3 linked regions of the Mus musculus genome follow. The protein of the gene in region 1 binds, or shares a complex with, the protein of each later gene. Links are inferred from orthologs where the notes say so. Each region holds a gene or a part of one and is shown on either strand. Other genes may lie near its edges.

The links.
Region 2: Tox4 (region 1) and Ppp1ca share a complex: the UniProt entries of both Homo sapiens proteins name them as parts of the PNUTS-PP1 phosphatase complex. The link is inferred for Mus musculus from reciprocal best matches to the Homo sapiens genes TOX4 and PPP1CA.
Region 3: Tox4 (region 1) and Wdr82 share a complex: the UniProt entries of both Homo sapiens proteins name them as parts of the PNUTS-PP1 phosphatase complex. The link is inferred for Mus musculus from reciprocal best matches to the Homo sapiens genes TOX4 and WDR82.

Annotation. Positions count from the first base shown.
Region 1 is NC_000080.6:52,292,512-52,296,050, reverse strand, and holds the end of Tox4 (TOX high mobility group box family member 4), read right to left. Parts: intron 3,532-3,539; coding exon 3,368-3,531; intron 2,851-3,367; coding exon 2,790-2,850; 3' UTR 1,070-2,789; coding exon of another isoform or gene 958-1,069; 3' UTR 542-957; downstream 1-541. Other genes in the region: N6-adenosine-methyltransferase subunit METTL3, read left to right, coding at 958-1,069. UniProt on the Homo sapiens protein: Transcription factor that modulates cell fate reprogramming from the somatic state to the pluripotent and neuronal fate. In liver, controls the expression of hormone-regulated gluconeogenic genes such as G6PC1 and PCK1.
Region 2 is NC_000085.6:4,190,697-4,194,973, reverse strand, and holds the start of Ppp1ca (serine/threonine-protein phosphatase PP1-alpha catalytic subunit), read right to left. Parts: upstream 2,801-4,277; 5' UTR 2,758-2,800; coding exon 2,703-2,757; intron 2,230-2,702; coding exon 2,098-2,229; intron 1,953-2,097; coding exon 1,722-1,952; intron 1,208-1,721; coding exon 1,103-1,207; intron 508-1,102; coding exon 284-507; intron 203-283; coding exon 68-202; intron 1-67. Other genes in the region: Tbc1d10c (carabin), read left to right, coding at 4,165-4,277. UniProt on the Homo sapiens protein: Protein phosphatase that associates with over 200 regulatory proteins to form highly specific holoenzymes which dephosphorylate hundreds of biological targets.
Region 3 is NC_000075.6:106,169,647-106,173,786, reverse strand, and holds the start of Wdr82 (WD repeat-containing protein 82), read right to left. Parts: upstream 2,859-4,140; 5' UTR 2,569-2,858; coding exon 2,408-2,568; intron 1-2,407. UniProt on the Homo sapiens protein: Regulatory component of the SET1/COMPASS complex implicated in the tethering of this complex to transcriptional start sites of active genes.

The sequences.
Region 1 (3,539 bases):
TGCCTCCCTACCTCCTGCCCGTCCCTCCCCCAAAAAACCCTTTATGGACAAAGACAGATGTCACTGAGTTGTATACATTCTGGTAGTCTAGATGGCTTAAGCTTTACCAGAATCTACAACATTCATTAGAACCCAAAGGGCTGTTCTTAAAGCTCTAACTGCCCAAGGATCGTCAGCTATTCTGTGGGCTATATTAAATCTGCCCCCTAGTGGCTACTAAGTATTTATTCAATCTGTCAGTTTTAATGTTTGATGCCAATGGTGAGCATTTTAATTATCCAAGGACTATTCACTAGCAGTGACTGAATGAAGTAGGCCTGGCTACCATCAATTACTAATCCTTAGATAGACAGATCCGGCTGGATCTTGGGGCATGAGACTGAAGCAGGAGGATTGCAAGCTTAAGGCCTGCCAATGCTTATTTAGAGGTCTCAAAAGGGGAGGGGGGCTGGTAGTGTTAAGAGTTTAAGAGTGTATATGTAAGGTGCCTAGGTTCAACTCTTAGGACCACCAAAGAAATTAAAATCCAATCAGTTTTTGTATTGACACTGCCATATTATTTGCTCTGATCTTTTTAAAAGTTGATGTAGGCCGGGCGTGGTGGCGCATGCCTTTAATCCCAGCACTCAGGAGGCATAGGCAGGTGGATTTCTGAAGCCAGCCTGGTCTACAAAGTGAGTTCCAGGTCAGCCGGGGCTATACAAAGAAACCCTGTCTCAAAAACCAAACCAAACCAAACCAAAAAAATTGACGTGGACTGGGCATAGTAGAGCACACCTTTAGCCTCAGCACTTGGGAGGCAGAGGCAAGTAGATCTCTGAGTTCAAGGTTAGCCTGGTCTACATGGAGAGTTAGTTCCAGGACAGCCTGAGATAGGTATCACCAGAAAGTAGAACATTTTAAGTATTAAGCCCTTACAGGATTTTTGGTTTGCCTCTTCTTTCCCCCTTGTTTTAGGATTACTCTTGGAAACCAACTGGATGGGATACACCTACTAGACCCAGATGTGGTTGCCAGGTTTAAGCAAAGGTATCCGGACGGCATCATCTCTAAACCTAAGAATTTATAGACGCACTTCCTTACAAAGCTAAGCGTTCAGAGCCATGGGCTACAGGCCACACCTTAAGAGGACTGTTTACGCAATAGTGTCCCCTACCCTGTATATAAATAAATAAAAGTTTGTATTATAATTGGAATTTCTGAAGTGAAATTATGGCTTTCCACTTAGTGTGTGTCCTTGTGCTACTCTTATTTAGCGTGATTCATTATAAGTAAAAGAAGAATGTTAGCTACCTAGCGTGTTAGAAAAGACTACACAGGTTCACAGTGCTTAGCAATTAATATGCTATAAACAGGATTAATTTGAATTTTACCATGCATATGGTACTCTAAACTTTTGCTTATTCTATGTACGTTTGCTGGTTTATTAGTCTGTAGCTAATTTCTAAGAAAAACAAGGTACCTTCAATTAAAATTAGAGCTTAGAATATAAAAAATTGGCCTATGCATTATGTAAATGAATGCACATTTAAAAGATGTTTCATCAAACACAGATTCTTTACTTTGTAAAACCTCTTATTAGGGGTATAGAGTTCTGCTTCTTACATGCAAAACTGGTAACCAAGTCAGGTAAAGAAATACTTGTACAGAAAAAGATCGTTTTGGATGATGTCGTTTCCCCTCTAGCCCAATGTGCTAAGACTGAGACAAACAGAATTTGTGTGTTTTTGTCAGGAGCAGGGAGGGGGACCTTAAGATAGGATCTCACTAGGTAATCCTGGCTAACTTCAAGCTCAGAGATCCAACCTGCCTCTTGCCTCCTAAGTTGTAGGATTAAAGGGGAGTGCCACCACACCCGGTCTATTTTTTGAGACAAAGTCTGATTTAAGTTCAGATCAAAAATCTTCCTGTCTACTTCCAAAGTATTAGGATTAAAGGCACGGGCCACCATGTTCTGTAAAACCTTTACCTCATGCATCTTAGACTGTTCTCAAACTCACTAGTGGGCCAAGGATGACCTTGAACTCCTGATCTTCCAGCCTGGGGTCTGAACTCAGAGCTTTATAGTGCTAAGCCATAACCCCAGGCCTTCAAACCTTCCTCCTAATAGCACTGTGTATATCAATAATAGTTCCCTTTTAAAGGGCTATCACACATTTTATTTTAAATCAGTATTTTCATTCCTCCTTCACTTGGGATTTAAACCCAGTGCACTTTACCACTGAGCTGAAACCCTAAGTCTCTCTTCTCCCAGAGCTTTTTCTGCCGAGAACAAAGCAAAGCACTCGCCCAATGACATTCTAGGCAAGTTGTCTGACCGTTTTACTGGTATGTTTCTTCTAATGACCCCTATGATTTGCTCCCATCACTCTTCCCTGTGCTTGCTAGTAAGCTGGTAATTTTGCTTACAGTTGAGAGTAAAAAGCAATTCTAAATTACAGTGAATTTGCTGGCCCTGCTACATAGTCTGGCCTCTGCTGAAGAAAGAAAAGGGAGATGGAGGCATGAAGGACTATGGGTAAAGGTCAGGCACTACAGAAGCCCAGTTTGTGTTTAAAAAACAGGCTTTTGGCCGGGCGGTGGTGGCGCACGCCTTTAATCCCAGCACTTGGGAGGCAGAGCAGGTGGATTTCTGAGTTCGAGGCCAGCCTGGTCTACAAAATGAGTTCCAGGACAGCCAGGGCTACATAGAGAAACCCTGTCTGGAAAACCAACAAAACAAAACAAAAAAACAGGCTTTTGGACTCGTGTTCAGCAGATGAATCTTCAAGGCTTGGAGAAGACGAAGGCTACTTCACAAACACCACAGAGTTTGGATTTCTAGAGGCCACCCAGGCCAAGAATACATCCCTAAGAGAGAAAGATACATACAAACTTATTATAGCAAAACCATACCCAAATATTTCCCTACATCTCCAAAGTATAACATCATCAAGTAGCCTAAAAGTCAGATGTGGTAGACTGTGCCAATCCACCTCGTAGAGGACACATATGCCCTTTCACGGATATAGGTAATTCCCTGGGATATTTTGGTAGAAGGGCAAAGTTTTCACTTACTACTCACCTTCTCTACACTTAGCATTTACTCTGCTACTTTCCCCCTTACCTATCCCTCACCAAATTCTTTGACACTGGTAATTGAAATCAGGACCTTACCCATGCCAGGCAAGCAGTTGTCAGTTGAGCTACATCCTCATCTCTAAGCAATTGAACATCTAGGAGCATCTCTAATCAGATACCTACCCACCCACACATGTCAAGTGGCTCTGCCTAATAAGGTCATGCTCAGTCCACACGGGTACGGGTACCATGCTCCCCAACAGTTTCACTTCACTACCTCTTGATTTATAAGGACTGTTAAACTCACCTGCAGTGCTTCACCACACACTCATTGCTGCAGTACTCGTTGTCCCAGTCCTTACTGACAACAGGAGGGTTCTCACAACCAGACCTCACACATCGAGGCTGAGGTGACAGTGCCACAGGGGAGCCACTCACCAATTCAACATCCATCTGAGAAGGAGACTCCACCTTAAAAC
Region 2 (4,277 bases), on another chromosome or scaffold:
GAAAACACTCATCAGGGTCCTGGGGTTGAGCCAGGCGTCTATTGGGCAGCCTCTTCCCCACACCCACCTGGAAGGAACACATGAGGGTCTCATCCACACTCATCATGGCACCAGCATTGTCAAACTCTCCACAGTAGTTGGGAGCTGAGAAGAGTGTCACCAACTGTCTCTTGGCAAAGAACTCATAGCCATCTTCTACAACCTGGGCCAGGGCAGGAACGGTTTAGTCTGTAAGTTAGGCACCCCACCCCCACCCCCAGCCCGCCCCAGGCCACCAGCCCACCTGATGTGCTCTGCAGATGAGGTCCAAATCATGCTTGTGCAGGAACTTGGCTACCACCTCAGCCCCAAAGGTAAAGGAGACACCACGGTCATTCTCGCCCCAGCCTTGAACATCCTTGTCAGGGTCAGACCACAGGAGATCACACAGTAGGCCCTGGTCAGGCACGTCTGTGGGCCGCATAATACGCCTAATCTGCTCCATGGATTGCAAGTCTGGAGACAGGCCTGGGGGTGGTGGAGTGGGAATAGTGTTCCTTAAACCAAGTGCTGTCCTGTGCCCAGCTCTGGGGTGGGACAGCTCCACTGTTCCCACCGCTAATCTGGGCTCCTTAAGTTCAGGGAGACAGAATCCATTACTTCCCCACTGGCCCCATTTCTCTGTGGCCTTGGCTGTCCTGGAACTCACTTTATATGACACCACCACTTAGAAGTACAGATAGCAGACCTCGGGGGTGGGGGGGCAGAAGGAGATTAATGAGTTGACTACAGGATGCCTCATGCCACAACAGGAAAGAGTGCAACCAAACTGGTGGGTGGAGCATGCCTTTAATCCCATCACTTGGGAGTCAGAGATAGGCAGGAGCTCTAGTGAGTTCAAGGCCAACCAGGTCTACAAAGTGAGTTCCAGGACTGTCAGGGTTTTACCCAGAAAGCCAGTCTCAAAAACAAACGGGGGTGTGGTAATCTCCCCTAATAAGCGATATCCAAGATGAGATTCAAGGAGCGCTATTCCAGGGAACTGAGAAGAGTTCTGTTAACTTTACAAGGCCCCTAAGGATGTGGCCCAAGAACCCAAGCACAGACCCACAACCACTCTCACCCCCGTGGCAGCAGAAGATCTTCTCATCCACAATGGCTGCAATGGGCAGGCAGTTGAAGCAGTCAGTGAACGTCTTCCACAGTTTGATGTTGTATCTTCTCTTGCCTGCGCAAAAGGAAGCGGCTCATAGGGAAGACTACACCCCCAACCCCCAACCCCAGTCTAGGTTTCTGTGCACCCATCCAGGGACAAAGCTGAGAAAAAAAGACCGAAAAGCAAAGAAAGCTTACATTCTTCTCTTTGCTCTACCCTCATCTACCTTCCAGAATTCCAACACCTGAACTCGTCTGGCCCAACCATGATGGTGGTACCCACTCTGGTCCCATGGATGAGGCCAAACCAGGAGTGGGTCTGTTTTATTCATACAGGCATCCTAAATGTTTACTAAGGAATGTACTAGAAGGGGGTGTCATCAGGCAGGGCTGTGGCTTTAGCAAATGGGCAGCCCTGCATGTACATCCATTCACCAGGCCCCTCCTGAGCGCCAAGGACGACAGACGTGTTGCTGGGGCCCTACAGGGCTCATCATTGGGGGTCTTTTGGCACTAGACCAATGTAGGGGGCCCATGAAGAGCAGGGAATGTAGTTCTGGGCAGACAGCAACATTCAAAGCACTTACATTCATCATAGAAGCCATAAATGCGGTTGATGCTGGCACACTCATGGTTCCCACGAAGTAGAAAGAAATTCTCCGGGTATCTGATCTTATAGGCCAGCAACAGGCAGATGGTCTCCAAAGACTGCTTGCCCCGATCTACATAATCCCCCAAGAAGAGGTAGTTGCTCTCTGGAGGGAAGCCACCATACTCAAACAGCCGTAGAAGGTCATAGTACTGGCCATGGATGTCACCTGGGAACCAGAGAAAACTAGGTAGGTGCAAGATGTAAACTTGACCCCAGGGCCAGCAATAGGTTAAAGGGTGGAGGAACACGGTTAATGGGGCACGAGTAGGGGCTATTTTCAGGAAGCAAAAGGGTTCTGTGCAAGGATTTACCACAGATCTTGAGGGGCGCCTCAAGCTCCAGAAGAATGGGCTGGCTCAGGAAAATCTCCCGGGATTTGAGGCACAGACCACGGATCTCGTTCTCTGTCAGCTGCACGTTCTTCCCAGGCCGTGAGCCCTGCACTGAGTACGGAATAGGGTCTTGGGACCCTGACCTCGCAGACCGGACGAGGGTAGGTGTCGCGCCCCCCTAACAGGGGCAACTGTTGCAAGTGAGCCCCCACCCCCTCACCCCGAAACCTTTGCGTCAGGCCTTCAAAGGCAAGATCCGACCCCTTAGCCACCCGGAGGGCCTCCAGAGAAACGCCTGTGCTCAGCAGCCTGTCAGCCGAAGCTTCCTCGCTTCGGGATCCCTTCCCAGCTAGCTTCGCAGGAGCCTCACCCTGAGTCCCGGGCACTCGTGCACCCCCGGCCTCTGAGCGCGCTCCAAAGCCCAGGCGCCCGCGGGGGGGGGGGGTGCCGTGGCCATGGATCCTCACGGCCTGTCCCCGCCCAAGCGACGCTAGCCCCCGGGAGCGGCGGGCCGCCCGCGCGCCACTTCCAGACGGCGAGGGGCCCGGGCTCGGCGCGAGCGCACCTTCCCTACCCCTGCCCACCTTCCAGCAGGCGCCCGATGATGGAGTCCAGGTTGAGCTTCTCGCTGTCGGACATGGCGGCGCCGCCGCTCCGGCCCACCAGCTCCGGGCCCTCTCCTGCCTCCCGCCCTCTTACAGCCTCCTTCCGGCCTGGCTCTCCTTCCGCCCTCCCCAGCCCGCCCCCGGCCCGCCGCCCCTCCTCTTCGGTCGACCGCCCCGCCCCGCCCTGCCGCGTCCGTAGTTCCCCGCTCTCTAGCGCCTCCCCTGGACGGGAAGCTCCGCAGCCCGAGAGGGCCTCGGGCGAGCGGGCGGGGCTGGCAGGGGTGGTGAGCCGGGGTTCGGTAGGGCGGGGTTAGGTCGGCTCCACCCTGGAGGAATCGCCCTGCCGCGTTCAGATGAGTTAGGGCCGGAAGTACTGTAGGAATTGTTTTTCTCTTTCCAAGTCTCTCCCACCCCAGCCCTGCGTGGGACTGTGGTATGAGCATGTTAATCGCTGACTTCTCAAACACTAAATAAATTCCTCGAAGTGCAGAAAAAGAAACTAAGGCTTAATGATACTGAGAGTGGGCTCCAGACCTCCGGAGCCTCACATTCACCTCCATCTTTATGGCCAGACCCATGAACACCTGCTACTGAACTCTAAGCAGTGTTTTGGTCCAGGTTGCCTTGGTGCCTGCTACGTCCATTTTTTTTCCATAAGTGATGTAATACGTTGTATCTCGTTCATGTTGTAAGTCCTTTGTAGAGTACTTGGACTTGTCTAGCATGTGCAAGGCCTGAGGTTCCAGCTCCGGCTCTGGAAGGAACATTAAAGTAGGCTTGGTGTCGTAAACCTATAATTCCAGTGCCTGAAATTCCTGCACTCAGGAGTCTGGACACAGGAGGATCAGAAGTTCAGGGTCATCTCCTGTCTGGGCTACATAAGACCCTGTTCTCACACTACCCCTTCACTCTCAAAACAAAACAAAACAAAAAACCCGGGGCAGGGGGTTGGAGGGGTGGGATGACATTAAAGGATAATTATTATTGGAACCATAAATTGGTTTTACTTGGTAAAACTGAAGGTGGCCTGTCATCTTCAATTTGGGCCAGCCAGGGAATCAATACACCCAGCATCCTCTGGATGGGAGGAGGTCGTGGCTCTGGCACTAGGGCAAGCAGGAAGAACCTCACAGAGGAAGGGGGGAGTCCCCCCACCAGGGAGGGGCCCCCAGCAAGCTGCTGAGCTGAGACTGAGGAGGAAGTGAGAAGAAGAGGTGAGGTGCAGCAAGGAGGTGAGCCGGGCTGCTGGGGTAGGGGCCAGGCTTGGGGCTGGGGCTCTGCACAGAGACTTGGTCTCAGGGTCTACCCGACTCCCCAGCAAAAGAGGGGGCTTAGTCCCCTGTGACTGAGGACTGGTGGCTGGAATCCCCAGCCTGAGTCTGGCTGTTCACACTGGCTCTCTGTATGTCTTGCAGCCTGTGACACTGGGGTCCAGGGCAGAATGGCCCAGGCCCTGGGAGAGGACTTGTTATCAGAACTACAGGATGATTCTAGCTCCCTAGGGTCTGACTCAGAGCTGAGTGGGCCCAGTCCATATCGCCAGGCTGACCGTTA
Region 3 (4,140 bases), on another chromosome or scaffold:
AAGATGTTACTTCCAAAGAAACAGTTATTTTCTTCTACTGTTGGAATTATTGGATTATTCTTCTATACATATATATTTTTACATTTACTGATTTTATGTATATGAGCATTTTGTCTGCTTGCTTGTATATATGGGCACCCTATGCAGGTCTGATGCACATGGAATCCAGAAGAGAACATCAGATCCCCTGCAACTGGAGTTAAATGTAATTGTGAGCCTCCACGTGGGTGCTGCTGATTAACCTAGGTTCTCTGCAAAATTAACATGCGCTCTTAACCACATGTTAGCCATCTCTCTAGCTCCTGGACTTTTTTCCCCCCACAAACTTCTCTCTTTATGAAGACTTCTTTATGTTATTTATAGGAGTACCCTTGTAGCTGACTTCAGACACACCAGAAGAGGGCATTGGATCCCATTATAGATGGTTGTGAGCCACCATGTGGTTGCTGGGAATTGAACTCAGGACCTGTGGAAGAGGTGCTCTTAACAGCTGAGCCATCTCTCAAGAAATCAGAATTAGGGGTCAAATCCCCTGGAACTAGTTACAGATGGTTACAAGGTGTAGGAGTCCACTTGTTCCTCTCTAAGAGCAAGTGCCTGTAGCCATCTCCAGCCCTTACATTTCCTTTTTGGGACAGCTGTTCAAGCTGCCTTGGATTCGCACCCCCAGCTCCCAAGCGCTGAAATTATAGGCACTGCTGGACACGTTCTTTTTTCAAGAAAGTTCTTTGGAGCATTGTAACTTTCTGTAAGTTTGTAATCATGTAAAAAGGTTACATGCCTGAATAAACATTTTTTTCAGTCTTAGTGTTTTATTCCTTTGAATAGGATATGCATTTCCATTACAGATTTGGGGGGGAGATTCTAAGCTATGTATTGCACCAAACATGTCAGACAAACCAATTTCAAATTACTTGTAGTTCCAAACAGAATCAAATAGTCAGACCAGTGTATGATAATAATCAATACACAAATATGAACATCAATTCAAATAACTATTTGTCCAGTTAGTAATTTTCTCTTCCCCAGGATCACCACTGTAGGAAACTCTCCCACATACAGCAAGCTCAAGTCCAACGACAGTTACGTAATACTTTGTTGGAGCTCCAGCGAGGAAACCCATCAAGGACAATATCATATACAGCTCATTCTACAATAGCTTTACTTTAGATAAACTCAGAGACAAGTTCCAAAAGAAAACTATTATTTGAAAAAAATAATAAACAAAGAGAACAGCTGCAAAAAGGAGAGAAAAAGCCAAGGATTCAAAAACAGGTAACTTTAACATAATGTCGAAAACAGTAGCTATTAAACTAAACACCTCCTGCTTAGGAAGGAAGCTGAAGTTGACAAAGGGAATCAAATTTAGCCTAAACTAGTTTCTGCTACAAAAGAGGTCACTGCTTACTTATCGAGGATTTGAACTTCCAGAGATGAGACAGGCAATGTCTTCCTCACACCCAGGCTATGAAAACGGCAAAGATACACAAGTTCTCCAACTAACATAATTTCCATAACCAGTTCCAGAATTCCAAAACTTTGATAACTATAAGCAAACCACAATCTGGCGGTTATTGTTTTTTGTTTTTTAACTGTTTTGAGTCAGGGTCTCTCTGCTATGAAGTCCAGAACTCAGGGTCTGACTGCCTCTATCGCCCAAATGCTGAGATTACTGGCTAAGCGGCCAAACTTGGGTTTTTTTTGTAATGCAAAAGGAAACACTAAATTGTTCCGGAATGCTTTCTTTGTTTTAAAGAGAGCTCACATTCTGACCAGAATGGGGCGGCCAAGTTCTCAGGAGTCTGGCAAAGAAAAGTTTCCAAGAGTCTGTTTAGTAAGTTAACTGTAAGCCTGGGTATTGGTACTGGGAAAGGACAGCAAGCTCACATGGGCACAATCGATAAATCCTGACAGCTTAAAAACTGCATCCCGCGGGGCTTGATTGCAGAAAAGCCGCGCGGGAAGCTGAGGGGTAGGGGGCGGGCACCGTGCCAGGGCTGAATCCAGGTCACTGCTGTGAAGGCAGAGAGCTGGACGCCACTGATGGACAGAACACAGCTCCTGCCGTTCTGCATCGAGCTCAGAGTCCACCCGCACATTCTGACAGTCGCCAGGGGAGTGGAAAGGGCTATCCGTCCGGCTGCAGGGTGCAGGGACATGGCGTTTAAAGGTCAAGGTCAAGGTGGGGTTTGGCAAGCGGGAAAAGCGCGCTCGGAAGAGAGCAAAGACACATGAACTAAGAACCATCATCATCTTAAAGAGGATCTCCTGCAGCACTGCGGGATGGAGGTGGCCCTGGCAAGAGCGCCTGCACCACATGCCTGGGGTTGGGGGTGGGGGCTCAGTCGGGGACCAGCGACAGAGGGAAGGAGAGGGGCACTTGGAACTCGGCCACTATCACACTCACTTGCCCTCCTGGCAGTCATAGAGCACGATGGAGTCATCATCGCTGCTAGAGATGACCGTCTCGCCATTGGGACTAAAGTCAAAGCAGTTGATCTTGTCTGAGTTCTCGCGGAACACCTTGGCGACGCGGAAGCTCCGGAGCACGCTGTCGGTCAGCTTCATGGCGGCGGCGGCTGCTGCTGCTGAAGGCAGCGGCGGCGCAGGGCCGGGGCGGGGCCGAGAGGCGAGCGATCGGGCGGGCTGCTCAGGGCCAACCCCGGCGGTGCGGGCGCCGCGCTGGAGACGAACCGAAGGACGGCTGACAGTGGGGCTGCCGCGTCCTCTTCCTCAGGCGACGCTCTCTCGCCCGGACGACGGGACCTCGCTGACCGTTCTTCTCCGGAGTCAATTCAGGGCCAACCGGCGCTCCGCCGGCTCATTGTGTCCGCCATCTTGAAGGGAGAAGCAAAATCAGAGGGCGAGGAGCTTGTGTCGCGGCGGACGCCGGGAAAGGGGGCGGGGAGGGAACGGAGGCGCGAGCTGGGGGAGGGGGGGCGGGACGATGACGTCAGCGGGGCGGCCTCCCGTTGCTGAGGCCCCGGAGCTGGAGCCCGCGGTTCTGGGGTGTGAACCTGCGGGCGTGGAGCATCTAAACCCTCTCTCTCGAGGGCAGGACTTGAGGTCGCCTCGGGGCTAGTGCCTTTGTGGGTGCTCTCAAGCCCCGGGGAGACGCTGGTGTCTCTGAGGCCGCAGGACCTGGCGGAGAGGCCTGCTCGTGTGTGGGTGTGAATCAGGTGAACCCATCACCGACTGACTTAACCACTGCACGGCCGAGCCAGGAGGCTTCGATTTGTTAGTTGAGTGATGTACAACATACACTTGCACGAAGTTTTAAGTGGCATTTTCAACTGGGTTTATATTAAACTTCAGAAGCTTGGAACTTCTTTTAAAATTTAATGAGAGTCGAAGCGCATGAAGATCCCTAACTTCTAGTGCGGGAGGAGGGGGAACCTTAGGAAGGGACATTTCACTCACTGGCAGGTGATTGCAAAGGCATGACAACCAGAGTCCCTTATAACCTGGGTTGACAAACGACGAAATGGAACACGAGAAAAAAATGGAGCCTTCTTGAAAAATGTGCGGGGGGGTTGCATCTCAGGTTCTTAGGTTAAAGAAAAAAGGTAGCTAGATAGAACTGGAAGTGGTTGGCTGAGGGAAAACGACAAGATTGTAAGTTTGTACTGCAGTTGTCTCCTGACAAAGGGCAGAGTTCCTGGCTACAATCTGTTCCGGGGTGTGAGGAAGGGAAGGAACCAGTTTGAGTGAAACCTGAATGGATGGCAACTTTCCAAATTGCAAATCTGTTCTAGAAAAACCTTCCACAGGTGGTTGCACTCAATCCCCAGTGATTGCCTTTGAGTTTAGGTGATCCAGGTGATCCAGGCTGCTATGGAGCTTGAGATAGCAAGGACAGATCTGGTGCCATGTGCCCGACTTGCTGTGGGAACTGAAGTTTTCTGAAGAGCATCTACAATAAAGATCCTGCAGACTGGCTGACTACAACATCGCAATTGTGGAGACATCAAATGTAGGCAAAGGATCTGGAACTATTTTAGGCCTCTTTAAAAACTAGTGTGTGTGTGTGTCTGTGAGTGCGTGCACACATGCTTTTACCTTCTGAGCCTTCTAAGGTGGCCTTGCTTTAGACTTTAAATAGCCATTTACTCTAACTTCCAACATTCTCCTAATAAATTT